Elephas maximus indicus: one gene and its partners. The protein of the gene in region 2 interacts with the protein of the main gene of each other region in a pairwise test. Links are inferred from orthologs where the notes say so. Each region holds a gene or a part of one and is shown on either strand. Other genes may lie near its edges.

Evidence for each region.
Region 1: the proteins of AGTRAP (region 2) and BPIFA2 interact in binary tests that used the Homo sapiens proteins (3 or more experiments, as listed by UniProt). The two-hybrid records come from large-scale screens. The link is inferred for Elephas maximus indicus from reciprocal best matches to the Homo sapiens genes AGTRAP and BPIFA2.
Region 3: the proteins of AGTRAP (region 2) and MIEF2 interact in binary tests that used the Homo sapiens proteins (3 or more experiments, as listed by UniProt). The two-hybrid records come from large-scale screens. The link is inferred for Elephas maximus indicus from reciprocal best matches to the Homo sapiens genes AGTRAP and MIEF2.
Region 4: the proteins of AGTRAP (region 2) and ACSF2 interact in binary tests that used the Homo sapiens proteins (3 or more experiments, as listed by UniProt). The two-hybrid records come from large-scale screens. The link is inferred for Elephas maximus indicus from reciprocal best matches to the Homo sapiens genes AGTRAP and ACSF2.

What each region holds. Positions count from the first base shown.
Region 1 is NC_064843.1:36,398,612-36,405,821, forward strand, and holds the start of BPIFA2 (BPI fold-containing family A member 2), read right to left. Parts: upstream 3,010-7,210; 5' UTR 2,908-3,009; intron 2,105-2,907; 5' UTR 2,090-2,104; coding exon 1,894-2,089; intron 13-1,893; coding exon 1-12. UniProt on the Homo sapiens protein: Has strong antibacterial activity against P.aeruginosa.
Region 2 is NC_064821.1:51,594,375-51,602,049, reverse strand, and holds the start of AGTRAP (type-1 angiotensin II receptor-associated protein), read right to left. Parts: upstream 3,014-7,675; 5' UTR 2,939-3,013; coding exon 2,912-2,938; intron 1-2,911. UniProt on the Homo sapiens protein: Appears to be a negative regulator of type-1 angiotensin II receptor-mediated signaling by regulating receptor internalization as well as mechanism of receptor desensitization such as phosphorylation.
Region 3 is NC_064820.1:214,090,836-214,098,764, reverse strand, and holds the start of MIEF2 (mitochondrial dynamics protein MID49), read left to right. Parts: upstream 1-4,913; 5' UTR 4,914-5,073; intron 5,074-5,082; exon of another isoform or gene 5,083-6,175; 5' UTR 6,176-6,445; coding exon 6,446-6,469; intron 6,470-6,603; exon of another isoform or gene 6,604-6,773; coding exon 6,774-6,953; intron 6,954-7,158; coding exon 7,159-7,342; intron 7,343-7,879; coding exon 7,880-7,929. Other genes in the region: FLII (protein flightless-1 homolog), read right to left, coding at 1-148, 305-390, 718-798, 1,665-1,736, 2,055-2,165, 3,747-3,809. UniProt on the Homo sapiens protein: Mitochondrial outer membrane protein involved in the regulation of mitochondrial organization.
Region 4 is NC_064837.1:43,248,263-43,255,911, forward strand, and holds the start of ACSF2 (medium-chain acyl-CoA ligase ACSF2, mitochondrial), read right to left. Parts: upstream 3,014-7,649; 5' UTR 2,814-3,013; coding exon 2,686-2,813; intron 1-2,685. UniProt on the Homo sapiens protein: Acyl-CoA synthases catalyze the initial reaction in fatty acid metabolism, by forming a thioester with CoA. Has some preference toward medium-chain substrates. Plays a role in adipocyte differentiation.

The DNA of each region.
Region 1 (7,210 bases), on a different chromosome or scaffold from region 2:
TCTGAAGGTCATCTGGCAAAAACAATGGCCATTTAGTAACATTCACCACTTATGAAGCTGCTACTCTGTGCCAGGCACTAGATAAGACTATTTGCCTGTTATTTTATTCAGTCTTCATTACACCCCAGTGGGGTAGGTATTACTGTTATCCACATTTTTCAGATGAGGAAATAAAGGATTAAAAGGTTAAGAGATGTGTCCAAAGTCATAAAGCTAGGGAGCTCCTGATCCTTCCATGTTCCCTCCTTGGTCTTCATGATAGCTTCGTGATAATTTATCAACGAACCAATCAATTGATCAGGCAACTGATATTGATTGTACACCAGCTTCTAGGAGCAACTATGGGGCCTATTGGCTCAAATGGGGTTTACACACATGTTTAAAAAACTAGATCAAATAAAATGAGAGAATAAACTAAGAAGTAGGACAATTTAGAATCAAGAAAAAAAAAATGGCTCCAACCCATAAAAATGGCAGAGAGGAGTCTCAGGATTATAGCTTAGCAGTAGGCCTGGAGAACTATTTATACGGAATAGGATAGAGTGTTCCTCATGCGAGGGCTCTAGAGAAAAACGAGATGTGATAATAAATGACATTACAAGGGTAGGACAGTGCATATGAAAAGAATTAGGAGTATGTGTATAGAAAATAATTTAAGTGAGAAACCACAAGGCAATTACTAACTCAAGAGAAAACAAAAGACTGTACAGGAAAAGAAATATAATCACAGTACTACGACTTGGCTCTGCGATGAACAATATCTGCCTGGTTAGAGTGATGCAAACAAGGAATGCCAATTTAAATAAAACTGGTGCTATACTAGATCTGGTCATATAACTCACTAAGTGGCCTCAAGCCAGACACTTCAGTCTCTGGCCCTCATGTTCCCCAGCTGCGTCTCTGGCCCTCACTTTCCCCAGCTGCAAAATTAGAATGTGAGTCCTTTCTGCATCTTTGAAGGTTGCCTAAGCCTGACAAGGTTTGAAAGGCGGCCATTTGCAGGAGCTACCTCCTCTTATGAAGAATGTTTGTCAAAGTGCTGTTAATGTTTCCAGGAAATAAAAAAGAAAGCCAGATTCTTAAAGAGTCAGCATAAAAATGGGTGTAATTAAATACAAAGCTGGCTAGTAGCGGTAGGTTTAATTTGCAATGAATTGACAAAAATCAATAACAGAAAATTAAACAATCCAACAGAAGACTATGCTAAGAATATGAACAGAATATTTAAGCTAAAATTTGCAAATGGCTAGGAAACATGAAAAAATGATTCATAATTAGAGAAATGCAAGTTCAAATGAATTAAATCATATATCTAGCAGACCCTGGCAAGGTGGCGGGGGAAAAGGCACTCTCCCAGACTGTTGGAAGGTGTGTAACATAGGGAATAATTTGTCAACCTCTACCATAACTTAAAATGTGTACACCTTCTGAGGAAACCCTGGTGGTGTAGTGGTTAAGTGCTACAGCTGCTAACCAAAGAGTCGGCAGTTCAAATCCTCCAGGCGCTCCTTGGAAACTCTATGGGGCAGTTCTACTCTGTCCTATGAGTCGACAGCACTGGGTTTGGTTTTTTTGGTTACACCTTTTTGAACTTTCAGGACTTTGTGCATACATTGGCAAAAATGTACCAAGATACAATATGTAAAAAGATATTCATTGCAGCATTGCTTGTTTTTAGAAAAATAATAAGTGAATGAGCCAGGGACTGAATAGCCACCTCTCAGTAAACCACCTATAAAGGGCAGCCCCTGGTGGCAGCGTTTGGTAGTGCAGGCATAGTGTTTAGGAGGCAATTTCCTGGGTGCTAGTGTTTTTTTAATGTTTTAGGAATTTAAAAAAAAATTTTTTTTTTTTTTTTTAGTGATTTAGTGATTATCACTCTTGTTGACTCACCTTGAACTGAATTGTCAGCAGTCTTAAGTGTGTTGTCAACAGTCTCAAGTGTGTTGTCAACAGTCTCAAGTCCTTTGTCAAGAATAGGTTTCAAATTGTCCAAAACATTCGGGTCATTGCCAAAATTCCCAAGAAGGGACGCTGAGGTCCCAGTGAGCAGACCGCACAAGAGAGCAAGTTTCCAAAGCTGAAACATCTTTTATCCTGACACCTGGACAGTCATAGGAAGAAGAGGAGAGAGAATTACCCAGAGGGAAAAGGAATATTCAACGAGCAACAACCACTCTTGCACTTAAAGTCCCTTTGAGGTAGAAGTGGTTATCTCCTATCTTACAGATGGGCATTCAAGGTCAGAAAGCTAGAGCAACTTGTCCAGAGACACACAGCCAGTGAGTGGAAGAGCAAGGAGCTGAAAAGTCAGACCTGACTCCAAGTCTGTGCTCTTTACACAAAGGTCCTTTGCACATGCTGTTTTCTCTGCCTAAACCATCTTTCCTCTTCCTCACTTTTTTACCTAAGTCAAATTACCTAAATTAACTCAATTCCTCTGATTCTCCAGGCCTAAGCAAGACATTATGCCCTCCGTGAAGCCTATCCTAGGTCCCTCCCCAGAGTCTACATTTAGGGGACTCTGTCCCACCACCTTGGCTTCCTTCATTCTCTGATCAGAGTCCTGGGTTCCAAAAGCCTGACGACTTGTTTGCCTCTCCCACCAGGCTATGAACCCCTCGGAGGAGGGACTGTGACTTATTTTACTGTCAAATCCCCAGCCCCCAGTAGAATGCCTGCACTAAGCAGGTGTTCAATTAATATTTGTTGGATAAAAGAATGAACCAATCAATGCACACCACATCATGCCCTTGCATTGCTCAACAGTTTGACAATTCTCTTACTATAATCTATATATCTCTTAATTTGCTATATTCAAAATATTAGGTGATCCAAGTGGACCTATCTTTTTGCCTCTTTCCCCCAAAGCAAGGGGTGTGGGTGGGGGGTAAGCCCACCACTCACAGATTTGGAGGAGGATGCTCACAAAATCCTTGCTCTCCTGCGTGGTCTCCTAGGATTCTGCTGGGTGGCAGTGGCTCTTATATGGTGGCAATACGATGTGAGGCTGCTCACGGAAGCAAGGCCTAGTTCCGGGGCCATCCAAGGAAACTCCAAAGAAAATAACTCCTGTTCAGGAGACTTCCAACCCAAAGGTCACCCAGGATGCTTGAATTGAAATGGTTGAGTAGGGGGAGGATTTTCTGCCAAGACTAAGACAAGGACTTCAAGGGGCCTCTAGCTGCCAAGGGGTGGCCATTGTGAATGGGGGGCTGGGAGAGAGACTGAGAATAGACAAACTGGAGAATCCAGGTGGGAAGGCCCACAGAGATCATCCAGTCTAACTGTCATTTGGAAATTGCGGCTCAGAGAGAAGAAGCAACCAGCCCAAGGTAAGACAAGGTCAAAGATGGGACTAGAACGGCGGCCCAGTGAGAGTCAGGCTCGGCTGCCTGAGGGGTCATTCTGCCCAACCCTCTCTGGCATCTGAGTGGCTTCTACAACATCTTTCATGGGACTGAGCCTGCCTCGGTTCAAATGTTTGGGGTGATGGAGAGGTCACTGCCTGTTCTGTCTAGTTGGTAAAAAGTTCCTTCTAAGAGTGAACAAAGCCTGCCCCCATGCCACCAATGTGTATGGGCAGCAGTGAGGCCCAGAGGAGTTAAGTGCCTTGCCTGAGTCTGCACAGCCAGTGTCAGAAGACACAATACCAACAGCCTCCTTGTCCTTGGTCTCCCTCTGCCACACTTGCCACCATCCAGGCCACTGTCAAGCAGCGGGTTAAATCCAACATCCTTACCTGTGTCATCTGCCCCTGCTGCCTCTCCAAACTCATCCCCATCCCTCTCCCCCTTGATCTCATTGATCTTCTGTTCTAGAAAGATGGCAACCTCCTTTCTACCTTGGGCCTCTGCGTAGGCCATTCTCTCTGCCCAGAACCCTTCTGCCCAGCTGCCTCTATGTCACCTCCTGGAACGCCCTCCCTGACTGCCCACCTGGAATAGCATCTCCCCATTACCCTCAGTCTCAGCTCTTCCCTCCCTTCTTTCACAGTGTGATCACAATCGGAATTGATTGTACTTACGGTTTTCTGCTCTTAGCGAGTGATTCCCGCCCTGTGCTCCAGAGCTCTCCTCCATGCAGGTCTCCAAGACCCTGACCTGCCCCTAGCGTGCTCAGGGTCTCTCTGGGGCATCCCATAAGGCCAGCCACTGCCTGGGAAGGTGGTGAGATCCCCAGGACCAGAGATGTTCAGAAATGGGACTAAATAACTCCTACAATCCTGATGATTGGATATGATGGTGAGCCGTGATTCTAAATTCCCACAGCTCTATTGTTCAAAGAAGGTCCTGGGTAGCACAAATTGTTTGTGCTCAACTACTAACCTAAAGGTTGGTGGTTTGAACCCACTCAGTGGTCCTGTGGAAGAAGGGCCTGGCAACCTGCTTTCATAAAGATTATGGCCAAGAAAACCTTATGGTGCAGTTCTACTCTGTAACACATGGGGTCTCCATGAGTCAGAATTGACTTAACAGCAACAGATTTGGTTATTGTACGAAGACCGTTGTGCACATTTTTATGATTCTTCCCCTCAAGTTTTGTCTCCACTTAATTCCAGCCACCCCCACATAGAGATATTTTTCCCTCGGCCTTCCTGTCTCTTTCCTTTTCTCCCCCTCTGCACCCCCCAATACTTGAACTTCACCCTGGCACGGGCCCTTAGAGCCACGGTGACTGGTGCTGGAGGCTGGTTTTCAGCACAATCACACCCAAGACAAAGCCAGCCTTCTCCTGTGGCATCGGTCGCCTCTCACAGCTAAGCTCTGGTGTGACATTGAGCTAAAAGCTCTCAGTCCCCTGGGAGGGAGGCTGTAAAGCAGGCAGAGGCCCCATTCTCTCACATGTAGCTCAAAGGTTCTAGATTCTAAGGAGCCATTATTTAGGGTCACCCACTCCTCTGTTTTTTTTTTTTTTTTTTTTTTACTCCTCTGTAGCCTCACTGGCCCCAGGCCACATGGGGACAGGACTTTGCCATTCCTCTTCAAGATCCCTCCCCCTAAAGCACTGGGGGAACCTCCGAGTCTTAAATTTTCCAAAGTGGAGAGAAACCACGACCCCCTTCTTTGTGAAGTCCTCTAGGCTCTATTCCTGATGGTGTGTGTGTAGCTCTACAACAAGTACACATATTCTTACACATGTGTGCACCCACACGCATGCATGCGCACACACACACACACACAAGAACAAGACAGCACAAACTAGATCCATATGAAGAAAACAAACACACTTCTCTGCCTGCAATGAGAACTTTTTACCAAATTATGGGCACCATGTTAGCTTCCCCCCGTTCTGAATGAAAGAGCTCTTTCCCCTTACAGGAGGATATGGGTCTGCCTGGGTCTGATTTCTTTCCTTAGAGACTTTAGACATTAATACAATTTATCTGTCAAAATGCACCAGAAATTGGTGCCAATACTAAAGAAATGAGAAGACACGTCATTAGAGTTCCTGGATCTAGATGTTCCTGAAGCTATATACCCCTTTTCAATTCAAATAAAATTCCATCCTTCCCTCGTTTTTTTGTTATTGTGCGAGTCAGTGTGAGCTGGATTCCTGTCACTGAAACCCTCAGCAGCCCTGACTCATACGTTGATGGATTCAACATCGGCCCTCTCCTCTCTGACGGTTGCTCACGAGTCACGTGACCACGCTTGAACCATCATAGACACCAAGCTCAGAGGGGAGCATAGAGCTCATCCATTCAGCCTCCTCACTGGGGAGCCTGAGGAACCTATGGCCCAGAGAGGAAAAGGGACTCACTCAGGGCCACACTGTGACCTTGAACCCCACTTACTTTCTTCTTTTTGTTGCATATCTTTTAGTTTTGTTGGAATTTTCTGCTTGAGGCAAATCCCACTGCCATTGAATAGATCCTGACTCATGGTGACCCTGTAGGACAGAGTAGAACGGCTCCATAGGCTTTCCAAGGCTGTAAATCTTTATGGAAGTAGACTGCCACATCTTTCTCTTGCAGAATGGCTGGTGGGTTAGCCTTTTTAAAAGTAAAATGATGAAACAAAATTACCTAGGAAGCTTGTTTAAAATACAGATTCTTGAGTCACATCCCTAGATTATTTTGGTCAGGGAGTCTGAGGTGGAGCCCAAGAGTGGTCTGGTCTAGACTACTGGGAGTAGTCTGCTAGGACTGGGAACCACTGGGCTAGAGAGCTCAAAGGAGCCCTCCACCTCCAGCCTGTGAGCTGGGACCCCGTCACCTAGCTTCCAGTGCCCCAACTCAGCCTACACATCACACTCCTAACAGTACAGCTCATGTGCACTGCACTTTACAGTGTAGTCTGACCACCGTGTAGAAACACAGGCCCAGAAGAGCAGGCTGTTGGTGATAACAGCTGCCGTTTATTTGGTGCCTGCTGTATACCAGGGCTTTTCCTGCATCATCTTGTTTCATTCCCTTGCAGAGGGTGTACTTTTCTCATTTTCCAGATAAGGAAACCGAGGCCCAGAAGGGGAGAATGACTTGCTCAAGGCCACACAGATAAGAAGGGGCAGAGCTGGAAGCTGGACTCAGGTCTCTGCTGACACCAGATACTGATAGCGGCTGATCCAGTTTTCTGTCTCCCCAGGTCAACGGTGTGTCCATTCTTCTCCTGCTCCAGTGCCCAGGACCCAACACCCACTGGGGGAAGGAACATCCTGGCTGCTGCTGTGTGCGTGGCGCTGGGCTTGGCACTTTAGAGACATGCCCATCTTAGTCCTCCCAGCAACTCTGGGAGGCTGGCTTTGAGAGTCTCATTTTCCAGTTGAGGAAACTAAGGTTCAGAGAGGTGAAGTGGCTTGTGCTCACCTCACAAGAACAAAGAATGGGCATTTGGGCCCCCGGGGAGTTCTTTCCACCCCTGTCATGCTGAGGCTGGTGTGATAAGGGCTTGAATATCCTGTTTATCCCTCTGTCTCTGCTGTTTGAGTTGGTTGTAACCCCTGGTGCGTTGGGCCTGTGTCAACCCAGAACAGGGCACGGAAGTTCAGATGGGTGCCCACTTGGCATCGGGCTATGGAGGACTGGCCTACTGTCTCTACCCGCTCTGCTTGCCCACCTGCAGCTCAGCAAGGACCTGGTGGGGCCACAGCAGCACCTTGTAATAGTAGATGATCAGTGACTGTTTATTGAGTCGTTACATCACTATTATGATTATTAGAGACCTTGCTCTTCAATGACTTCCCCTCCAGGGGCAGTGACGTTGCTCTG
Region 2 (7,675 bases):
CCATACCTCACACCACGTATAAAAACTAACTCAAAGTGTATCAAAGACCTAAATACAAAATCTAAAATGAGAAAGATCATGGAAGAAAAAAATAGGGACAATGCTAGGAGCCCTAATACATGGCATAAACAGAAAACAAACCATAACTAACAATGCACAAACACCAGAAGAGAAACTAGATAACTGGGAGCTCCTAAAAAATGAAACACTTCTGCTCATCAAAAGACTTCACCAAAAGAGTAATAAGACAACCTACAGACGGGGAAAAAAATTTTGGCTACAACATATCCGGTCAGGTTCTAATCTCTAAAACCTACAAGATACTGCAAAACCTCAACAACAAAAAGACAACTAAACCAATTAAAAAACCGGCACTTCTACAAAGAAGACATTCAGGCAGCTAACAGACACATGAGGAAATGCTCACAATCATTAGCCATTAGAGAAATGCAAATCAAAACTACAATTAGTTACCATCTCACCCCAACAAGGCTAGCATTAATCCAAAAAACACAAAATAATAAATGTTGGAGAGGTTGTGGAGAGACTAGAACACTTATACACTGCTGGTGGGAATGTAAAGTGGTACAGCCACTTTGGAAATAGATTTGGCACTTCCTTAAAAAGCTAGAAATAGAAGTACCATATGACCCAGCAATCCCACTCCTTGGAATATATCCCAGAGAAATAAGAGCCATCACATGAGTAGATATATGCACACTCATGTTCATTGCTGCACTGTTCACAATAACAAAAAGATAGAAACAACCTAGGTGTCCATCAACAGACAAATAAATAAATTATGGTACATTCACAAAACAGACTACTACGCAACAATAAAGAACAATGATGAATTCACGAAACATCTCACAACACGGATGAATCTGGAAGGCCTCACGCTGAGTGAACTTAGTCGCAAAAGGACAAATATTGTATCGAGACCACTATCATAAGAACTCAAAAAAAGGTTTCAACACAGAAGAAAACATTCTTTGATGGTTACGAGGGTGGGGAGGGAAGGAGATGGGTATTCACTAACTAGATAGTAGACAAGAATGATCTCAGGTGAAGGAAAGGAAAAACACACCACACAGGGGAAGTTAGCACAACTGGACTAAGCCAAAAGCTAAGAAGTTTCCTGAATACAACCAAACACTTCGAGGGACCAAGTAGCAGGGGCTGGGGTCTGGGGACAATGGTTTCGGGGGACATCTAGGTCACTGGGCATAACAAAGTTTATTAACAAAATGTTCTGCATCCCACTGCAGAGGGTGGCTTCTGGGGTCAAGTTACTTACCCTCTCTGAGCCAAAGTTTGCTCATCTGTCAAAAGTTTGCTCGGGAGGTTGTTGTGATTAAATAATTAATCCCGGCACACCACAGATACTCCATAAATGAGAGCTCTCTTCTTTCTTTTCAGTTCCTGCAGCACTGTCCCTCACCCGATTCTCCCATTTTTAGCAATTAGTTTGTGCAAATCTCTAATCAGAGGAAAGGCAGTCAGCAGGTGTATACCTTCTACATTAAACCCAACCCACCTGGAATAGCATAGGTGCTCAAAAGACTTGGGTACTGATACCAACAAACCTCAGATGGCCTCATGTGAATTTCTTCCCAGCTAAACTTTAAACCCAAGTCCGACCCCTTGTTCCAGGGATCTCTCCTCCCATCTGCTGATTGAAAAGAAAATCTGCACCCAGGTGAAATCACAGCACAGGCATGTCTAATCGAAACATAGATTATGAGTCGTTTTGGAATCAGCCACCCCTGGGTTCTTCTTGCACCAGGCACCACACCACGGGGTGCTAAATGGTTTGTCACTCCTGAGTAAAAGGGCATTCCTGGATATGGTCCCAAAGGAGGCTGCACCAAGACCTTAAATGGGCGGGTTTGGTCCAAGGTTCAGCCTTCCAGACCAAAGCTAAGGGCCCAGCCCCTCTGTCTGCAGGCAGAACCTAGACGAAGGCTGGAGGTGGGCGGGGAGAAAAAGAAGAACAGCCGCTGGCATCGTGACAACGCCGAAGACACAGGACAGGAAATGAAGACATCCCAGGAAGCCCCACAGTGTCTTCCAAAGTGCACAATGTGGGGTTTTTCTGCTCGCTTGAAATAAGAAAGCTAGACTTAATAATTCTGAAAACCACTTTCTGGCAACATCTGATTTTCTTAAATCTCCAAAACGAAAACCAAACCTGTTGCCTTCCAGTTGATTCTGACTCATGGCGGGCGACCCCATGTGTTACAGAGTAGAACTGCTCCATAAGGTTTTCTTGGCTGCAATCTTTACAGAAGTAGATCGCCAGGCCCTTCTTTTGCGGTGCTGCTGGTAATCCAGTTTAAGCCGCCCACCTTTAGGTTCACAGTCAGGGCAAACCATTTGCTCCACCCAGGGGCCTTTTCTTAACCTCACTGAGTGAATAAAGGAGGCTAGCAGGACCCAACTGGGGGCCCAAGTGAAAAGTGTGGTCTCAGCGTCTCCTTGGGGGAGATGTGGCCCAACCTCAAGCCCCTGCCGCAGGCGCTCAGTGGGCCCCTCCCCCCGCGCCTGCCTCCCTCCCCACAGGAATTCTGAGCGTGTAGGCCCTGCAATCCTCCGGGGCGGAGCTCCCAGCTGGAGGAGGCCGGCTCCGGGACCAGGCGGCCCTTCCGACCCTGGTCAGCCTCCAGTCCCCCCTCTGGATCCTCCCTGCTCGCTTTTTTCTGGATCCCTCCTCCCCGCTGAGGCCTACCTTCCCCACCTCCTTCTCACCTGGGGTGGTGTCCGTTCCCTCCTCCCCTTTCTCCCTGCCAAACTCTCCGTCCTCCCGCCTTTAAAATCCTTTATAGAAAGCAAACACCCAACACACTCCCAGATACCCGCCGCCCCGCCTGCCCGCGGCGTGGCCACCTCCGCCCCGTCCCGCCCGTCGTACCTTCAGGTTCACGGCGGGCAGCTCCATCCTGACCCAGGCCCAGTGCACCTGCGTTGCAGCGGTAGGAGCTCTTCGGCTCCGAAGTCTGGAAACAAACTTGCCCGGCCCCGCCCCGCCCGTTGTAGCAACTCCAACCCTATCCGCGCTCCCGGACCACGTGAGCGCGGCCCGGTTGCTAGGAGACGGCGTCGGTCTGTTCCGGTTGTCTTGTAGCCTCCTGGCTCCTGGACTGCCCAGGCAGTTCCTGGGGGCCCGCAGGCAGAATATCGGGGTTTCTTGAGCAAAGGGAGCGATGTCCTGCCTGGCTAATATGCCAGCAGGTGGTGACACCTGGGCTGATGAGACCACCTGCAGTCACGAGAACCTGGGGGGACTTCCAAGTGCAAACTGTGGATGTAGCGACAGCTGGTGTCTCAGTCCCTGGGGCACCCTCTCAACTTCCTCTTTCCCGGTGTTAAAATGGAGACATTTACAATACCTGCTAGCTTTGAGGAGCCCTGGTGGTGCGGTGGTTAAGAGCTCGGTTGCCAACCAAAAGGCCTCAGTTCAAATCCACCAACAGCTCCTTGGAAACCTTATGGGGCAGTTCTACTCTGTCCTGTAGGGTCGCTATGAGTCGGAATCGACCCAAAGGCAGTGGGTTTGGTTTTTGGTGTGAGTGCCAATGTAAAGTGCCCAGAAGAGTGCCTGGCACTTAGTAAATGGGCAGTACACACAGCTCCCTGGGTGGTGCAAATAGTTAAGCACCGAGCTACTAACCGAAAGGTCAGCTGTTCAAATCCACCCAGAGGCACCTCGGACGACAGGCCTGGTGATCTACTTTTAAAAACTCTATGCGATACAGTTCTAATGACACACATGTTTAATCTGAGCCTGTTAGTGTGTAATAAGACCGTGAGCAATGATCATCTCATAAGGAGAGAATGCAAAACAAACAATTTATGTGATTAGAGCTGACATTTATTAAGTACTTATTTTGTTGTAAAAAAAAAAAAACCTTCTGACTCATAGAGACCCTACAGGACAGGGTAGAACTGCCCCAGAGGGTTTCCAAGGAGCAGCTGGTGGATTCAAGCTGCTGACCTTCTGGTTAGCAGCCAAGCTCTTAACCAGGGCTGTGAAAAGCACTTCATAGTAAATGCTTGCAACAACCTCATGGTGTAGGTACTATTCTTATTTACAGTTAGGAAATTGGAGTTAAGAGATATTATGTGGCTTGCCAAAAGTCACTTCACTGGCTAGTACTACAAGTGGGTTGGGAACCCCGGAGGTCTGGCTTCAGAACCTGCACGTTTAACCTTGAGCTACACTGCTTGCATTGTCACAAAGACACAGACCAGGCTGAGTTGAAAAGGATGGAGCACAGTGAGGAGGGGAGGACAGGTTGGAGAGGGATGAAGGACAAGGCCGGGTCTGTGGCGGGTCCCTGCAGCTCACACACTGATACTGTATTCATTCCACTAGCTGAGGCCAGAAGCATGAGAGGCAGAGGGAGGGCCAGAGCGAGACCCAGCTGGCCAGAGCACTGAGGAAGAACAAAGGAGAATGAAACTCTCTGTATCCTCAAAGGATCCAGAGGTCCTGCCCTGCCCTGCTCCTGACTAGGAAGAACAAATGGATCCCCACAAAGGACATTCCACAAGGCTTCAGGTCATATTTTTAGTGAGCATACTTTGGAAAATTCAAGTTTAAATTTTTCATGTCCTTCACCAATCCTGTCTCAGCTCAAAAAGAAAAAAGGCACCTTGCACGCTCGACAAAGAACCAGACATATAATAGATTCATTCATTCATTCAATCATTCATTCAGTGCATAGTTATTAAACACCTACTAGGGTAAATTGCCCTGATGGCACAGTGGTTAAAAGCTTGGCTGCTAACCAAAAGATCAGCAGTTCAAATCTACCAGCCGCTCCTTGAAAAACCCGTAGGGCAATACTACACTGCCCTACAGGGTCACTATGAGTTGGAATCGACTTGACAGCAATGGGTTTGGTTTTTGTTTTGGGAGGGTAAATACCTAGGAGTGCTATGGCTGTATCATATGGCAGCCAAACTTTTTAAGAAACTGGCAAACTGTTTTCCAAGGTGGTTGTATTGCCTTATTTTATTCTCTTCTTAGCACTTATCAATATCTGAAGGATTGCCCTGTTAAATTATTTGTTTACTATTTATTGCCTGTCCCCCGACCTAGACTATAAGCTAGGAGGATGTTGCCTCCTCAGACCTTAGCCCAGTGGCTGGCATATAGTAGGTGCTCAGTGAATGAACAAATATACACCAACTCATAGACACTGTCATGGATTGAATTGTGTCCCACCAGAAATATCTGTCAACTTGGTTAGGCCATAATTCCCAGTATTGTACAGTTGTCCTCCATTTTGTGATTGTAATTTTATGTTAAGAGGATTAGGGTAGGATTGTAACACCACCCTTACTCAGGTCACCTCCCTGATCCAAAGGGAATTTCCCTGGGGTGTGGCCTGCACCACCTTTTATCTTTCAAGAGATAAAACGAAAGGGAAGCAAGCAGAGAGTTGGGGACCTCATACCACTAAGAAAGAAGCACTAGGAGCAGAGAGCATCCTTTGGACACGGGGTCCCTGCACCTGAGAAGCTCCTCGACCAGGGGAAGATTGAGGACAAGGACCTTCCTTCAGAGCCAACAGAGAGAGAGCCTTCCCCTGGAGCTGACATCCTGAATTTGGACTTGGAACCTACTAGACTGTGAGAAAATAAATTTCTCTTTGTTAAAACCATCCACTTGTGGTATTTCTGTTACGGCAGCACTAGATGACTAAGACAGACACCATATTTGTGTTATGGATTGAACTGGGTCCCCCAAAATGATATATTTAAGTTTTAACCCCTGGTACCTTCAAACTTGGCCTGGTTTGGAAATAGGGTCTTTGGAGATATTGTCTGTTAGGTTAACATGAAGTCATACTAGAGTAGAAAACTAAAACCAAACTCGTTGCTGTCGACTCGATTCTGACTCATAGCGAACCTATAGGACAGACTGTAACTGCCCCATGGGGCTTCCAGAGTGGCTGGTGGATTTGAACTGCCGACTTTTTGGTTAGCAGCCAAACAATTAACCACTGCACCACCACAGAACCATACTAGAATAGAGTGAGTCCTAATCCAATCTGACTGATGGCCCTGTGAAAGAGAGACAGAAAGAGGAAGGCTGGCCATGTGAAGATGTATCTGCAAGCCAAGGAATGCCGGCAGCTACTACGAGAAGCTGGGAGAGACAAGAAAGAGTCTTGCCCTGGAGCCTTCTGAGAGAACCCAGACCCAGTGCCATCGAGTCGATTCAGGGCCCTGTAAACAGCCTGAATTCAGACTCCTAGCCTCCAGAACTGTGAGACAATACATTTCTGTTGTGATACTTTGTTACAGCAGCCCTTGGAAGCTGATGCAGCAGGTCTTGTGAGGACAAGTCCAGGATAAATGCCTGTTGAATTGAAGAGGCAGGGGAAGGCCCACGTGTTGGGCAAAGTGGTGAGAAGACACCTGCATTACTTTTCTACAGGTGCTATAACAAATCACAAACTCCAAACCAAACCAAGCCTGTTGCTGTTCTGTCAATTCCGACTCATAGTGAACCCACAGGACAGAGTAGAATTGCCCCATAAGGTTTCCAAGACTGTAATTTTTATGGAAGCAGACTGCCACATCTTTCTCCTGCAGAACGGCTGGTGGGTTCAAACTGCCGACCTTTTGGTTAGCAGCTGAGGGCTTGACCACTTTACCATCAGGGCTTGTTCACCACAAACTGGGTGGCTTAAAACAACAGGAATTATTCCCTCACAGTTCCAGAGGCTCACAGTACAAAATCAAGGTGTCGGCAGGGTGGTGCCCCCTCTGAAGTCTTCTTCCAGCTTCTGGTAGATCCAGGCATTCCTTGGCTTGTGGCAGCGTCATTCTAATCTCTGCCTTTGTCTTTATGTGGCCTTTCCTGTGTCTGTGTCTCAAATTTCTCCCTGTCTTTCTCTTATAAAAACACTGTCACTGGATTTGGGGTCACTGTGGAGCCCTGGTAGCGCAGTGGTTAAGAGCTGGGCTGCTAACCAACGGGTCGGCAGTTTGAGTGCACCAGGCGCTCCTTGGAAACCATATGTGGCAGTTCTACCCTGTCCCATAGAGTCGCTATGAGTCAGAATCAACTCGATGGCAACAGTTTGGTTTTTGGTAGTTCAGTGCTAGAATTCTCACCTTCCATGCAGAATACCGGGTTCGATTCCCTAACCAATACACCTCATGCGCTCCCACCTATCAGTGGAGGCTTGTGTGTTGGTATGATGCTGAATAGGTTTTAAGGAAGCTTCCAGACTAAACCAGACTAGGAAAAAAGGCCTGGCTATATACTTCCAAAATCAGCCCATAAAAACCCTGTGGGTCACAGCGGGTTGGTCTGCAACCTATCATAGGGATGGGACAGGACCAGACAGTGCTTTGTTTCACTGCGCATGAGATTGCCACGTGTCAGGGGCTAACTCAATGGCAGCTAACAAAAACATTGGATTTAGGGCCCACCCTAAATCCAGGATGATCTCATCTCAAAATCCTTAACTTAATTATATCCCCAAAGATCTTTTTTCCAAATAAGTTCCCATTCATAGCTCCCAGTGGTTAGGACTTGGATGTATCTTTTAGGAGGGCTCTATTCAACCTATTACAACAGCCATATCCCATTTCCTACTAGCAGAGCCTGGGAGATCAGCCTCGGCATTCCAGCACACTGCGGAGGAATAGTGTT
Region 3 (7,929 bases), on a different chromosome or scaffold from region 2:
CAGCAGCGGGTTCCCATTGAGCACTAGCGTCTGCAGCTGCACCAGACGGCGCATCTGCGGAGGTAAGCTCTCCAGGCGGTTCTCGCTGAGGTCCAGGTACAGCAGGTCTGTGAGGTTGATGAAGAGCTGATTGGGGATGGTGTCGATGCTGCAGCCGGAGGGAGGGAGGAAGAGAGAGAGAGGGAGGCAGGCAGGGGCTGCCTGAGTTGGCCCGACATCCACATCCAGGCCCACCTGGCTGTTGCATTGTTGTGGCCTGGGCCTCCCTCCCCCACCCTGATCTCCCACCCAGTGCGACAAGCACCTGTTGTGGCTGAGATTCAGCACCAGCATGTTCTTGGCATTCTCCAGCTCCCGCGGGCACTCCGTCAGCTGGTTGTAGCTCAAGTCCTGGGTGGGAGGGGCAAGCCCTGGTGAGGGATGTTGGGGGCTGGGCCTACCCAGCCAGGTCTCTGCCAGGTCCTGGGAATCAGGAGGAGCACTGAGTGGGGAATGACTAAATTAAAGCGAGACAATGGGGACCCTGGATGAAGAGTGCTTGAGTTAGACATCTGTCTCCATGAGGGGCCTCTGGCAAGGCATTGCCCACTCTGAGCCTCAGTTTCCCCATCTATAAAAGGGGTTAGCAATGGTCCCTGGGGACTATAGATGGGGGGGTGGATGGGGACTGAAGGGTCAGGGCCTGAGGAGGGGCCAGGTGGATGGATAACCACTGACCAGGACTGAGAGGTCATCCAGCTTGAAGATGTCATCAGGTACTCCAGAATTCTTCAGGCTGTTGGCTCGAGCCACAATGGCCTGGGAATAAACCATGACTCCTGGCTTCTGCCCCCAGGAAGAAGCAAACAGGTCTCCTCCAGGAAGCCCACCAGAAGTCAGGCCTGAGTGCTCTCACACCTCTGAGCCTTTTGCTTATACAGTCCCTCCACCAGGTGGGCTCTTCCTAGCTTTCTGGTAAACTCCTATCACACCTGAAAGCCCAGCTCAAATGTGTCCCAGAGCCCAGCACAGGGACCACCCTGACTATCTCTCTCTCCCAGCTGAACTCCATCCAATCCCAGCTCTAATACTGCCTGTATATGCCACCTTGGGTGGGTGACTTGGTCTCCATGAGTAAGTCTCCTATCTGTGAAACAGGTTGTTGTTGTTGTTCTCAGGTGCTGCTGAGTCAATTTCAACTCAAAGTGACCCCATGTGACAAAACAGAACTGCCCGATAGGGTTTTCTAGGCTGTAATCTTTATGGGAGCAGGTTGTCAGGTCTATCTCTCAGAGCCACTGTGTCGGTTCAAACCACCAACTTTTTGGTTAGCAGCAGAGTGCTTAACTGTTACATCACCAAGGCTTCTTATAAATTAGGTAACAGCTAGGATTACATGAAAAAATCTACAAAGCAGAACAGTACTCGACCTGTGTTGACTATCACTGCTGTAGTTTTATTTGTTGCCCAAAGTAGATGCGGTTTTCAACTTTTTAACATTTTCCCCATGGAATTTTAATTCACGTGGTTTACTTTACACAGGGCATCGTTTTGTCTTCTTCCCTTTACACGTATGTACGGGGGTCGCACAGATGCTGGCCCGGCCTGAGGTCTGATCCTGCCCTCCCTCTTCTGGCAGGACGCCACCCCACCCCAAGGCTGGTGGCCTCCCTGCCCGCACTCACCCGCAGCGATGGCAGGCTGGACAGCTCCCCGTGAAGCGTGGTCAGGTTGTTGTGGCTCACAGACAAGTGCTCCTGGGGCCGGTCAGAATAGCAGGAGCTTAGTGGGATGGGTGGGATGGCTAGAGGATCCTCATCCACCACCATAACCTTGTTCCATCCAGAAGGGCCTTCTGCTACGTAGGCCCAGTCCACCTCTGCTGTTTCCCTCCCTCATAGGCCCGATTTCTTCTTGCACAGCTCCTGGGACAGGGTACTCACTCCCTCTCTGCCAGCTCTGATAATAGCTGTCAGAATGGTCTTTCTCTGTGTCGGCTGCTCTCGGCATAGCCTCTGCTTGCCTGGTCCAGTCTCATCCCCACAGACCCTCCCTGTCCACCTGGAGCTCCTTACCAGCTTCTGCAAGGCAGCCAGCTCCTCCGGCAGGTAGCAGAGGCCAGTGCGGTTCAGCTTCAGCCATCGCAGGCTGGTCATAGCCTTGACATTCTCAGGGAAGTAGCCACCCTGAGGTGGGACAATATCATGGTGGGGTGGGCTGGGAGAAGGGAGCACCCCTTCTGGTGCCTCAGTTCCACCACCCTCTGCGGCTCCCACTGCTCAAGGGAGCCTCTGGGGACCAACAGAGCCACCTCTCGCCAGCTGTGCAATCTTGGACAAGTCACTTCGCCACTCTTGTGTGTTGATTTCCTTACCCATCAAATGGAGCTAATAAAAGCCTCCATGTGACAAGTGTTCTGAGGAGGGACTAATTATTAGGTTGGCCCCAAATCTAGCTCTCCCACTAGACTCTGAGGCCTGGGAGGGCCAGGAGAGAACAGGCTTGTTGCAGGTGACAGCCCCAGCACCCAGCCCAGGGCCTGGTCAGCATATGTACCAGCTTTGTGTCAGCATGGGCTAAATTCCTTCGCCAGCATTCCAGGCCTGGCTGCAAGGCCCTGTCTATGCCTCCAATGCCATCAACCCCCAGGTCCAATTCCCACTGTGCCAGGGCCCAACTCCACATCCCACACAGGCTCATTCATTCATTCATTGGTTTATTCACTCCCCCAACACAAAGTGGAGGGATCTGGGGTGGCTGGTGTGCCCCTCAGCATTCCTGGCCCTGTGACAGGGTTGTGGCAGTACATGCCTTCATTGCCCATTGCTGGCATCTCCTTCCCACTAGGACCACATTCTCTGCTGGTGACTCAGAGAGGAGACCCCTGGTGAGAAGGGTGGAGATGGGGACAGAAAGTAGTGGGGTGGCCACCTGTGCACCAGGTAGGATAAACACAGGAGGAGCCTGCCTCCTTGGCCTCAGCTCTGGCTGACTCCTGACCCCAGCCAAAGCCTGGGCCAGGAATCTTGCAGCCCCAGGCCAGCTCGAACCTGTGCTGACCTCCTGCCACCGTTTCTCTCTGGGCACAGACTCTCTAGAATCACCTCCTCTTCCCCACAACTGGCTGGGGTTCCTTGATCCCCTCCTCTACCATTCCAGCAGCTGCTCACTGAGGCCCCACCCCCCGGGGGGGCGACAGATCAGACAACCCCACCCAGGACCTGGCACACCTGCCTGACACTCTCCATACCCGTTAATCCTCACGACCTTCCCAGGCCTCTGAGAGTTGTGCTGTTAAGTCCCCCGTCTGGATGGGCGGCTCTAAGAGGGGAAGCGACTTTCCCAAGACCACACAGGATGGGGTGGCAGTGGCGGGGACAAAGCAGTGACGGCGGGCTCCAGCCCCGCCCCGGGCAGCCCGGGCGTGAGTCAGGGCCTTACTTGGGTGTGTGGCCTCAGAAGGGCGGGGGTGGAAGCTGGGGAGGTGGCTGGGCGGGGCCCAGACCCGGAATGGGGCCCGAGGAGGGGCTCCTAGATGGATCCCCCTTCTCTCAGCCTCAGGCCCTGGAGTGACTCCGGACGTGAGCGTCGCCCGCCCCTCCCGGTCTCGGCGTGCCCGGCCGGGCCCGCGCGGAGGCCTGGGGTCGGGCTCTGGCAGGGCGCAGGGAGCCCCATCCCGGCCACAGGCGGGTCCGCGGCGGGCGGGCAGGAAGCGCGGGCCGGCGGGCCGAGCGCGGCAGGCGGCGCAGGGGCCCACCGCGGCTCACCTTGAAGTCGTTGCCGCTGAGGTCCACGCCTCGCACGAACGGCAGCACCCCAGTGGCCTCCATGGCGCCGCAGTCGCAGCGGTCGGCAGCGCAGAGGGCGGACCGGGCGGATGGAGGGCGGACCTATAGCTGTGCCGGGCGGGCCCCGCCCCCTTAACCCGCCGGCGCCTGCCGGAAAACCGTGCCGGGCCCTCGGCGGGAGCGCTGACAACCTTGGTGGGGCCGGAGGGGAGGGTGTCAGGGCCCCGCAGGGCCAGGCACTGACCCCCGTGCTGCTGCAGTGACCCTGGGAGACAGACAGTCTGGACCCAGGCCTGGGGGCGCTAGGCCCGGCATGGCCGACGGGGTTACTAAGTCTCGCCCTCGGGTGTAGAGCTCTGGGCAGGCCCCAAGGCCTGCTTCCGGCTTCAGATTCCTCATCTATAAAACGCTTCCCCAGCAAATCCACGCGTAGCTCCCCGCATACAGCAGGGCTCAATAAGTGGCGCGTCATTACTGCTCCTTCTGATACTCAACACCCACCTCGCTGGTCATTTATTTGCTTACTCGCCCCACCCCCACGCCCAACGCAGGCTCCAGAAGGGAGGCTTCCATCTTTGTCCATCTAGTTCACGAGGTCTCACAAATAAAAGCCGAGAGATTTCACAGCTGTTATTGGGAGAGTCCCGTGTTCCCATTTCACAGAAGAGAAAACTGAGGCCCAGGTGAAGAAACGGCCTATGTGAGTTCACACAGGGCAGGTGGCAGGGATGTGCTGTCTTGCCACACTGTGCCTGGTGGGCCAACAGGTAATGTCCATGAGGTCATCAAGGCCCACTCCAAGGGCGACCTAAGGAGATCATATGAAAGGGGGTCTGGCTGCAGCCTACGGGCCAGGCCCAGAACGAACGCGGCCCGGATGGCTTTCTCCACACCGGATGCTCCCAGCGCAAGCAAAAACCGCGTCACTACGGACCTCCACGGTGGCTGCGCCGCACAGGAACACTGCTACTTCACCTCCCTGCGCGTGCTCGAAATGCAGTCCTGTACCTTTAAAGGACAACTGCGTTCGCTATGTCCCGCCCCCAGGGAGCGCGTCAGCGGCAAGGGGGCGTGGCAGGCTCGCTATTGGCTGAGCCGTTCAGTATTTTGGACCGTGAGCTGGAGCGCCGCGCACTCTGATTGGAGATACGGCCTGCTTTTCTGTGTGGCCCTGGAGGTGTTACAGTTTCCCGGGGTCTCGGCGTTCGGTGCCGGCTCCTCCAGGTTCCATCCTGAGCGGGGCGGGGCTCCGGGGCTTAGCGGTCCCTCTGCGCCCTCCGCTGCGTGTGCTGAAGCCGCGAAGCAGGTATGGCCGGAGCGCGGCGGACTGCCCGCTCACCCAGTCGGGTGTGGCCTCTGCTGGGACGCGGTCGGGGGCGTGGTCTGCGCGCATAGTAGGGAGCTGAGAAGGGCTCCGGCCAGAGTTCGAGTCTAGGTTCTGCCCTTACTCGAGGCTTTGCACCTTCCCAGGACCTCAGTTCCCCCAGGAGTCAGCGGGGCCGTAACTCAGGCGGCGGTGTCCCGAGCGCTGCCAGGGCCCGGCCGCAAAGAGTGGGGTCTTCCTCCCGGAGTTGAAAGGCTGCGGGTTGGAGCTGCGGGACTCCACCAGGGGCTAAGCTGACTTCCATTTTGACGGGTGGGAGAATTTAAAGCGCTTTGCAGAGTGGATTCCTGGCCCCCGTGTCACTGGCAGGCCTGTGACCTCCCCAGGCCCCAGAGCTCGCTTGTTCTCCCTATTTTTAGCTGGGGCTGTTGGGCAGGTGTCTGGGGCTGAGTCATGCCTGCTTTGGGCTTCAGCTGCTCCAGGCATCTTCTCACCCTGTGACCAAGCCCCAGGCACCCGCAGCAGGGCAGGGACGGCAGAAGTCCGTGGTGGCAGAGTTGGCTGTGACTCAGGGTCATCTGCCCCCTCCTCCTCAGACTGTTCTAACGGGACCCATCTTGCTTCTAAGCTTGCACCTTGGTCACCACCCCCCATCTGCTCTCCGGTTGGTGGGTAGGGCCTGAGGGCAGAAGTCCGCCTCCTACAACCTGAGACCATGGTGGGCCGCCCGGGAGAAACCTCTGTCTTCTCCTCCCACTTCCCCAGTACGCAGTCACACTTCCAGGTCTCTCACTTCTCCTTCCTTGCCCTGCTTGTGCCCTTTGACAGTTAAGGAGACAGGCAGGGCCCTCAGGCCGTGATCTTTCTTTGTTGTTTGGCTTCTGCAGCTCCCCATCCCTCTTGTCCCAAGCCTGAGAGGCCAGGAGAGCCCTCTGTCTGGAGAAATTAGGCCAGTCCTCTGGGGGCTTCACATTTGGAGCTGCCTCAGTTTCTGCCTCCTGGAAGCGGGGCCTTCAGACTTGACCTGCACTTGCCCGTTTGCAGGCAGGACTCTGCCAGCCTGGGCCATTTCACTGTCTACCAGGGGCTGCCCTGCCAAGATCTGGGAGTTTAACTGTGGCCCCTGAGCTTCACGGATGTCTCCACCCAAGGTCTGGGAGTCTCAGACCTGGGACCTCAAGTCACTGGTCTTCTCTGGGCCTCAGTACACAGAGTGGATTGGAGATCGGAGAGCTGCTGTGCTGGCCCCACTTGGGAACCTCGGGAAGAGGCAGCCTCAGACTGGCCATCTGGAGGGAGGACTGATCCGACTCTGGGGTGGTTAGGAGGCTGAAGGCTTTGCTGGTGTGGGTCCATGTCCACATCCCCCACTGTGTGTGTAAGTCAGGGTGGCCATGACAACTACTCTCCTCACAGGTGTTTGGTAGTGTCCTGGGAGGTGGGTGGGTGGAGGATGGGCCTCCTCTGACCTGCCACAGGCCTGAGGGTCTCTCTGTGATCTCTCCTTTACAGAGGGCGGGTTGTTTGCAGGTTTTGGGGAGGGGGCTTGGGCAGCTCCCCCATCTCCTCCCGAGAAACTATGCGAATGGCTTTTCTCCTGAGAAATTCCCAGGAAGCTCTCCTCGTGGGCTCGACTCAGCAACCTGGCCTAGTGGCTGCCATTCCCTGCCCCTCCTGCCCAGGTGAGCCTGGCTTCCCACTCCTACAGGCTGACCATGGCGGAGTTCTCTCAGAAGCGAGGGAAGCGACAAGATGATGCTGTGCTGGGCAGTGCCGTGGACTTCCTGCTGGCCAATGCCCGCCTGGTGTTGGGCGTGGGCGCGGCTGCTGCGCTGGGCATTGCCACTCTGGCTGTGAAGCGGGTAAGGGTGGCAGGGTCACCCTTGGGCTCACAGGAATATACAGGGCTGTGCAGGGCCTGGGGCCTGGGCACCTCCCCTTCCCCTTCACGACCTGGTTTGCTGTGTCCCTGGGCTTGCTGTGTCCCTGGGCTTGCTGTGCCCTTGGGCTTTGTTCACCTGCAACTGCCCAGGCCTCAGATGCTCTGATGTGTTGCTCTGCCTGCAGCTCATTGACAAAGCCACCAGCCCAAGGGACGAGGAGGATGAAACCAAGGGCAATACCACTTGCCTGGAGGATGGCTGGAAGGAGCTGAGCCTGCTCAAGGCCATGCCGCGTCCCCAGCCCCAGCCCCCACCTGCTGCCCTGAGCCAGCCTGTGTCCACCCCAGCCCTCTCACCCACTGTCCCAGGTGAGTGGCACCCACCTGACATGGGTGGGCCCCGCTCTGGTCGCCACATCTGGGAGATGCAGCATGAACAGGGTCCTTGAGTTCAGCCCAGGCTCCACCACTGACTCCTGTGCCACCCCAGGCAAGTGGCTACCCCTCTCCCCAGCATAGAAGGGGTCGTTTTTCTCTTCCCACTTGTTGGTACCAGAGTGAGGCAGCAGTGTTATGGTGGGGGCATGGGAACCTGGGGGAAGCCTCAGATGGAGAAACCAAGGCCCAGAGAGGGCAGGACTTGTCCAAGGGAGAGGCCAGAGCCCAAACTCCCTGATTTTGCAGGAAGATGTCTTAACTATAGGGCAAAGGTGTTCGGAGCTGGGAACAATGAGAGCTTGTTATCGAGCACTCACTAGACATGAGGGCCTTGCTGTTGTCCCCACTTCACAGGTGAGCAAAATGAGGCCGAGGTGTCATGCAGCTAGCGACTGGGTGGAGGCCCCTTTACACATCTGCCCCATCGAGGCTGTGCTGATACATTTCCCTGACCCCTTGGCTCTGCAGAGGGGCCTGGAGACAGTGGTTCCCGAACGCCACCTCAGCACAGCTCCCCA
Region 4 (7,649 bases), on a different chromosome or scaffold from region 2:
CACCAAATCATTTGTAAATCATCTTTTAGAGATCTATGGGAAGAGTCTATTTTTTGTAACTACTTATGATTTCCACCCAAACACTTCCTGGGTTAATATAAGTCCTTCATATAGAAACAGTGTTTAAGTTGCCAAGACCATCTGATGACAGTCATCCTCCTCCCTGGAAGGTAGACCATAAAGTCCACGCACACCTCCACCCCTACCATCAGCACTGTGTCACTGGAGTCCCAGCTCTAAGCATCATGCCCAATATTGGAAGGCTTAAGCCACTGTTCTCTCCCTCTTCCCCAGCTCTGAGTGCTCCCAACACCCCAGATGCAGCTGTCTCCCAGGCAGCCCTAGGTCAGCTTTTGGGGAGGTGTGGAGGAGGCCTGCTCATATTCAGGTTTCTCCTTGGATTCCTCTCTCCAAGTTTCCCTGAAGCCCCAAACTAGCCCATCCAACTTGCCTTGGGGCAAAGAGGGTATGTGGACAAAGGAGGAGTGGGTGGTTCGGGGATCCAGAGAACAGACAGCTCCTCTTTCCTCCCAGGAAGAAGGCTCTGGATAGCCCTGCCTTTGATGGAGAAATGGGTGTCCAGTAGGCCCAAAGACTGGACTTGTGTCCGGGCAGAAGCTACCATCTTGGCAACTGGCCAGGAGAGAGGACCAAGTCCAGGGAAAAGGCTGTTGAGAAGGGGATCCTTTCGTACTCTCACATCAGTTGGAATCCTACCCAGACATCATTTGAAAGTTCTCAGGGACCAGCCCTGCTCCAAAGAAAAGGCTGGAGAGAGGAGCAAGCCTTTTTCAACCTAATAACTCAGCAATAGGTAGTATTAGCAATAATCTAACCTGGTTCAGAGGTTAGGTAACACGCCCAAAGAACATGTAGCCAGTAGGTGGAGGAGTCAAAGCTGTAACCTAAGTCAGTAGTTTGGTTTGAAGGTTCTTGCTCCTTCCTATCTGGCAAAAGTGGGGATGCAAAAACCCATAGGCCTGGGGTGTTAGGCTGTGTGTGTGACCAGATCAGGAAGAGCAGTGGACAGAAGCTGGGAGCTTTCTGCTCTTTGACACCTGGAACACCCAATGGGACCATATGTTGATTTATCTTTCCACCCTATCAGACCTCAGGCCCCTTGAGGGCTGAGGACTGAGTTCTATGGTCTCTATATCCACAGCATGACAGATAACATGGCCTTGTTGTTAGCTATCCTGGCTCACAGAGACCCCATGCATAACACTGCCTGGTCCTGCACCATCCCTGCAATCTGTTATGGGTTAGACTGTTGTGATCCAGTGATCCATAAAGTTTTCATTGGTTGACTTTTGGAAGTAAATCTCCAGGTCTTTCTTCCTAGTCGGTCTTACTCTAGAAGCTCCATTGAAACCTGTTCAGTATCATAGCAACATGTAAGCCTCCACTGACAGATGGTGGTAGCTGCACATGAGGGGCATTTGTCGGGAATCAAACCCAGGCTTCCACATGGAAGGCAAGAATTCTACCACTGAACGGCCACTGCCTTAACCCACTGGGCTTTCCCAGAAAACCAGGAATAGTGATATTAAAGATGTTAAAACCTGATGAGCTTTCTAGCTTTCAAGAACCATCAAGTTCAAAACGTAATTTTAGAATTCTAGCCAACAGAGGAATTTGCATCTCCCTCCAAGTTTCCCCACCTTGACTATTTTTTGTTGTTGTTCACCAAATTGAATTCTCTCAAACAGCCCTGTTCAGGCTTTTGCTTCCTTTTCCCAGCCCAGGCCCATACCCTGTTTGGTGTCCAAAATCCAGTCCTGACCACAGACGTAGTATCATGACCTTGCTGGGTAACAGGGCTAAGAGCAGGCCCAGTTGTGCCCACGCCTCCCTCTGCTGGGTGCTAAGATAACCACCACTGATAGCATCCCAGGGAGCCTAGCTCTGTGTAACCAATGCTATTTTATATTTGCAATCTTAAGGATTCCTACTTATTGCAGCAAAGCCAATGGGAACCACTTGCAAGCAGGACAAAAGAAAACAGGCCCAGGGGTAGGTTGCTGTGTGTGGTGAAGTCAATTCTGACTCGTAGCCACACCTAATAGGACAGAACTGAACAGCACAGCTCCCTAAGGGTTTCCTAGGCTGTAATCTTTTGGGAAGCAGACTGCCACATCTTTCTCCTGCAGCGCAGATGGTGGATTCTACAACCACCTACCTTGTGGTTAGCAGCAGAGTGCTTAACCACTGCACCACCAGGGCCTCTTAGAAGGAGCAAAAGCAGTGTTTACCAGCAGCTGATAAGGCTTCTGGGAAGACACCAAGTTTAGTGGCCTGGGGGAGGCAGAATGCCCAAGTTTATCCCAGAATGGGGTCCAGCTCAGAGGCAGTGTCCCGGCCTTGGCCCTTGACCCTCCCTCTCAGGCTGAACTGCTTAAGGCCCGCAGCCCTGGCCCTTTATATGCCCAGGATGGGAAGAGTCTAGAGTCCAGGACCGGAAACAAGGTCAGCAGAGGGTCAAGGTCAGCCACCAGCTGCTGATCCAGCCCGCGCCGACCACCCCACACGCTAGCACCTAGGACGTTGCCTAGGTGCTAGGGTTTTGGGTACTACTCCCCAGTGCACGCCACCCAGAGGTGGGGCTGCCGTGGGCTCAGCAGGGCCCCCACGGGCTCCTCCGGGGGGGCTGCCCCACCTCCTCTCCTCCCCGGGGCGGGGGGGTACCTGACAGAGCGGACTCCCTGCAAGATCGCTTCCCGCCAGCCTCGGGAGAAGATGGCCCGGGCCCCCAGCGCCCTCGGGCTCCCCGCACACAGCCTCCCGAGGCGCAGCATCCCGGAGCAGACAGCCATGGCTCGCTTTGACCCAGTCCCAGGCCAAGTAAACTTTTAAAGTAAGCCGAGGCGGGGCTAGCTGGGAGCCGACGGGGAGGCGGGAAGGGTCGCCGCTGCCTATGGGGTGCGGAAGCCTTGGACTGGCGGGGCGGGGCGAGGCGAGGCGAGGGGGAGGTGGCCCCGCTCCGGGCCACCTTCCTTCGGACCCGCGGCCCTCCCCCTTCCACCCTCTGAGAACTGCTTTGGTTTCTGTCCAGGTCCCAAGGCCCGGGCGGCAGCCCCAGGCGGGTCTCGCCTCCCAACCACTGGGGCCTAGGTATTGTGGCGCAAGAGTTTGTGGATTTCTTAGAGGGGGAGCCGGGGAGCTCAAATGCGGGGCGGGGCGGCAAGGCCAAGACTGGTCCCGCGGCGGGTTTAGCGGGCGGGTCACGTGCTGGCTCCCGGAGTCGCGAGCCAGAGCCCAAAGGAGCCAGCATGGAACAATCCCAAGGCGTGCCAGCTGGAGCAGACGGCCGTGGGAGGAGGGGAGAGAAGGCCGCCGAGACAAAGGGTGCAGTGGGTGAGCTCCCTCCAGGCCCGCAGACGAGGGGCTGAGTCTTGGCTGAGGCCAAGCGTCAGTTTACGGAGGGACCCCTCTCGAACGAGGCAGCCTCGCATCCCTCCCACTGCGTCTCCACGGTCGGGTTGGGTTGACCTTACAAGAGAAGGTGGTATCAGAGACTGGGACCTGTCTGTCATGTTTTTCTGCTCACCTAGCTCGTCCCTAACACAGTCCCCGTACGATGCCATGTCGTAGGCGTTGGCTGGAAGGCTTCCCCCACAGACCCTTCTTACTCTCCTCCCACCCCTCCTTAGGGTCCTTAACACCTGGGCTGAGCTGCAACGGAAAGAAGGTCCAACTCTCGTCCTGGCTGAGGAAGGGGGTAGTGCCTGGCCAGCCAGAGTGGCACAGTTTATAAATGTGTCTTGGCGTAGCCTCTACTTTTCCTCCAGAGGAGCACGGGGAGAGAAATGAGGGAAAGGCCTGCAGGATGACCTCCCTTCACCTGACCTCGAGGCATGTTGTAAGCAGGGCCAGGCAGAGGTGACATTTGCCCTCTCTGGGAACTGTGGCTCCACTGAGGTCATGAGGAGTCCACTCTGCTTCTCTTCATGGTCCTCAGAGTGACCTCAAAAACTCCTGGAGTTCTGGCTCCTGGAGGGGTCCCCCACACTTCAAACTGGGGGTGGCAGGAGGGAAGACAAAGGAGCAGAGATTATGAGGACCTGGACTTGCAGAGACTTGCCTTTCTAATTAGAGTAGTGCTCTGCCTCTGATAGTCCAGCTGGGGAATGTGGGGCATGGAGAAGTCCCCAAGTCCTGGGTATTGCCCTTCCTGGCAGGCTCAGCCACTAGACTGCTGGGTGACCTTGGGTAAATCGCTGCCCCTTTCTGGGCTTGTGAATTGAGGAATGGATACTGATCTCGCAGGCCCTCCTCTTTGCTAGTTTGAGGTCAGTCCTGGAGAGAGTTCCTCCTTAAATCTTGCTCCAGCCTTGACTTTCCCAGACACTGGGCATTCCTAACTCTTCTGCCTCCAGAAGGTTCCTGAGGAGGCAGCAGTGATATGCCACCACCCATGGAATCACAACCACCAGTTAACAGGGCAGACACATATGCCAGGTTTCTTCATGGACATTATCTCCAGTCCTCACAGCAGCCTTGCAGGGACAGACACACCTTGGAACATGTCTCTGATTTTAGGAAGGAACTCAGTCCCAGAGAGGTGTAGTCACTTGCCCGAGGCCAAGCAGTGGGAACAGTGAGCAGGAGTACAAGCCAAGACTCTCCAACAGTCACTTTGTGGCTTTGGGCAAGTCAGCAGGTCTCTTCAGCGTGTAAAATGAAGATAATAATACCAACCTCACAAAAAGGGTTGGGGTAAGATTTGAGTGAGGTGACACTGACCTGTACTCAGCTAGCTGTCACTGATTATTTCTTTCTCCATTCTCTCCTTCCTCCCCGCCTACATTCTAAGGCCTTCCACTGGGCTGTTGTTGTTGTGTACCATCGAGTCAATTCCAACTCACAGTGACCCTATAGGACAGAGTAGAACTGCCCCATAGGGTTTCCAAGGCTGTAACCTGTATGGGAACAGATTGCCATGTCTTTCCTGCCACACAGAGGCTGGTGGGTTTGAACCGCTGACCTTTCGGTTAGCAGACAAGAGCTTAACCAGTGTGCACCCCGGGCTCCTTCTCCTCTGTACTAGGTATTGCAAACCTTTTTCAGGAGGAGGAATCATTTTCACTATCTGCAAAGCCTTGAGGGATCTGGTAGGCACTGGTTCCATGGAGGGGGAGGGGGGCAGGGAAAAAGGGAAGTGAAGCGAGCTGACCTGGGAATCACTGAGTCATGGTAGGGATCACATGGATCCATAATTCTAGGGTCCCTGGTAGGGAACGGGGAGCAGATCAGGTCAGCGATCCAGGCCCTCTAACTTTCTTCCCCCTCCTGTCTCACCAACCGCAGCTTAGGCCAACTACATCTGCTGTGTGCTGCACGTGGCCTGTGATTTTGCTCTGCCGTTGGCTACGTGGAAAAAGCCCCTTTGTTAGTCCCCTCCCTTTGCCAGTATCCTTCCCTTTGCCAGTACCCTTCCCTTCTGTGTGTCAAAAATGGGTTCAAAATGTAAACATCATTGATTTTTTAAATTCTTAGCATCAACCTATGAATAAAGTACACTTGCTCCCAGTTAGATAATAGAATGTAAATGATCCCTTGGACTGCTAAGGTTACGCTGGACAGTAGTTGAGAGGCAAGAGAGCAGCTAATTTCCTTACCTTACAAACTGAGGCATCAGAAGATCGGATGGGTGATGAATATGAAATAAAGTTACAAAGGCAATTACTATATGTATAAAAATAACATAAATCTGTGTCAGGAGGACGTGGGGAGTGAAGATGCGGGTGTAAATCCTTACAGGTCACACAGAAAAAGAAGAAATAGCAGAATAAGTACATTATTTAGAGGAAAATGGCAGCAGTTAAAATAGTTGAAATTCATTCCCTTTGGGACATGGGCCTGGGGGAGAGGGATGTAGGAGAGAACGATTGCTTTTTAGTAACGCTTTTTTTTTCTTATCTAATTTTCATAAGAGTGTGCATATTTACCTTAATAAAAAATTTTATTTACAAACCTGAGGGAAGTTTCCTAACTAGCATGATTGATCAATTGCAGGGAAAATCCTGTCCATCTCAGGAGTTTTTCACTGTACAGCAGTGAGCACAAAGGGGTTAGTGAGGTCTGAAGTCGGCCTTGGTATCAGAGCTGGGTAGAATCCCAGCTCTGGTGCTTTTTTTTTCTCAATGACCTTGACCAAATCTCTTTTTTTCTGTTGTAATTGGCAAGTTGCTTTCTCCCACTGGAGGTTTTGTGTTCTCCCACTGTGATTTGTCAAGATTGGTTGTACTAATGGCCCCAGCTCTTCATTCTTCCCTTTGCCATGGGACTTTGCAGTTCCTCTCACTAAAGAGGCATGGTCTATTTCTCTGCCCCTTGACGCTGAGTTCAGTCTGTGATTTGCTTTGGCTGATGGGATTTTAGTAGATCTGATGCTATGAGCAGGATAAGACTTGATGGCAACAGGTTTGGTTTTTTCAGTTCTTGATGCCTGCAGAGACTTGTGGGGAAAAAAAAGAAAAAAGATAACCCATTGCTGTCTAGTAGATTCCAAGCCATGGTGACCCCTTGTGTGTTAGAACAGAACTGTTCAGTGAGGTTTTCTTGGCATAATCTTCATGAAAACAGATCTACAGACCTTTCTTCCGTGATACTGCTGGGTGGGTTCGAACTGCCAACCTTTAGGTTAGTAAACAAACAAAAAAACCAAAACCAAACCCATTGCCATCGAGTCGATTCAGACTCATAGCGACCCTAAAGGACAGAGTAGAATCGCCCCATAGGGTTTCCAAGGAGCGCCTAATGGATTCAAACTGCCAACCTTTTGGCTAGTAGCCGTAGCTTTTAACCACTACACCACCAGCGTCTCCTTTAGGTTAGTAGACAAGCGCAAACCATTTGTGTCACCCAGAGATGCTGACTTGAGAAGACACCTGTGCGTTTCTACCTGTATTCTTGCTCTCTAGTCCCTAGGTATAAATGGTTAATGCGCTTAGCTACTAACAGGAAGTTTGGAACTTCAAGTCCACCCAGAGTCACCTTGTAGGAAAGGCCTGGTAATCTACTTCTAAAAAACCAGCCTTTGAAAACCCTGTGGAGCACAGATCTACCCCGGCCGCGAGTTGGAAGTGACTCCACAACAACTGTTTTCTTGCTCTCTCCTCTCACCATGAGAAAGATGTGCCCAGCATAGCCCACCTGTGCCAGGAGGAAGTAAGAGACACAAGGACCAGCGCCAAGTCATCCCAGCCAAGGCCCTCTAGATCAGCCAGCAGCCAGCCACCCCCACTCCCTCAGACGCAGGATTAAGCCTAGCAGAGATCAGCAAAACCACCAGCCTACCTGCTGTTGACTGCAGCCCAACACACAGTAAACGTTGTTGTATGCCATTGATAGTTTCTAGTTGTTCGTTATGCAACGTCATATCGGCAAAAACTAGCTGATACAAGCGCCTAACACAGTGCGTGGCACAGGGCAGACATCCAGTTAACTTTTACTTGGAGGATGAGGGGATGCCCCTCCCTAAGCCTTAGTTTCCCACCTCGATTGTTTCTGAAGATTAGAGAAAATTGTGAATGTAAATGACTGAGACATCAAGCATTCAAAAAGGTAAAAAATATTGTTAAAACTGACCCTTTTCTCCGAATATTTTATTATTAAAAATTCAAACCTACCGAAAAGTTAAAGGAATT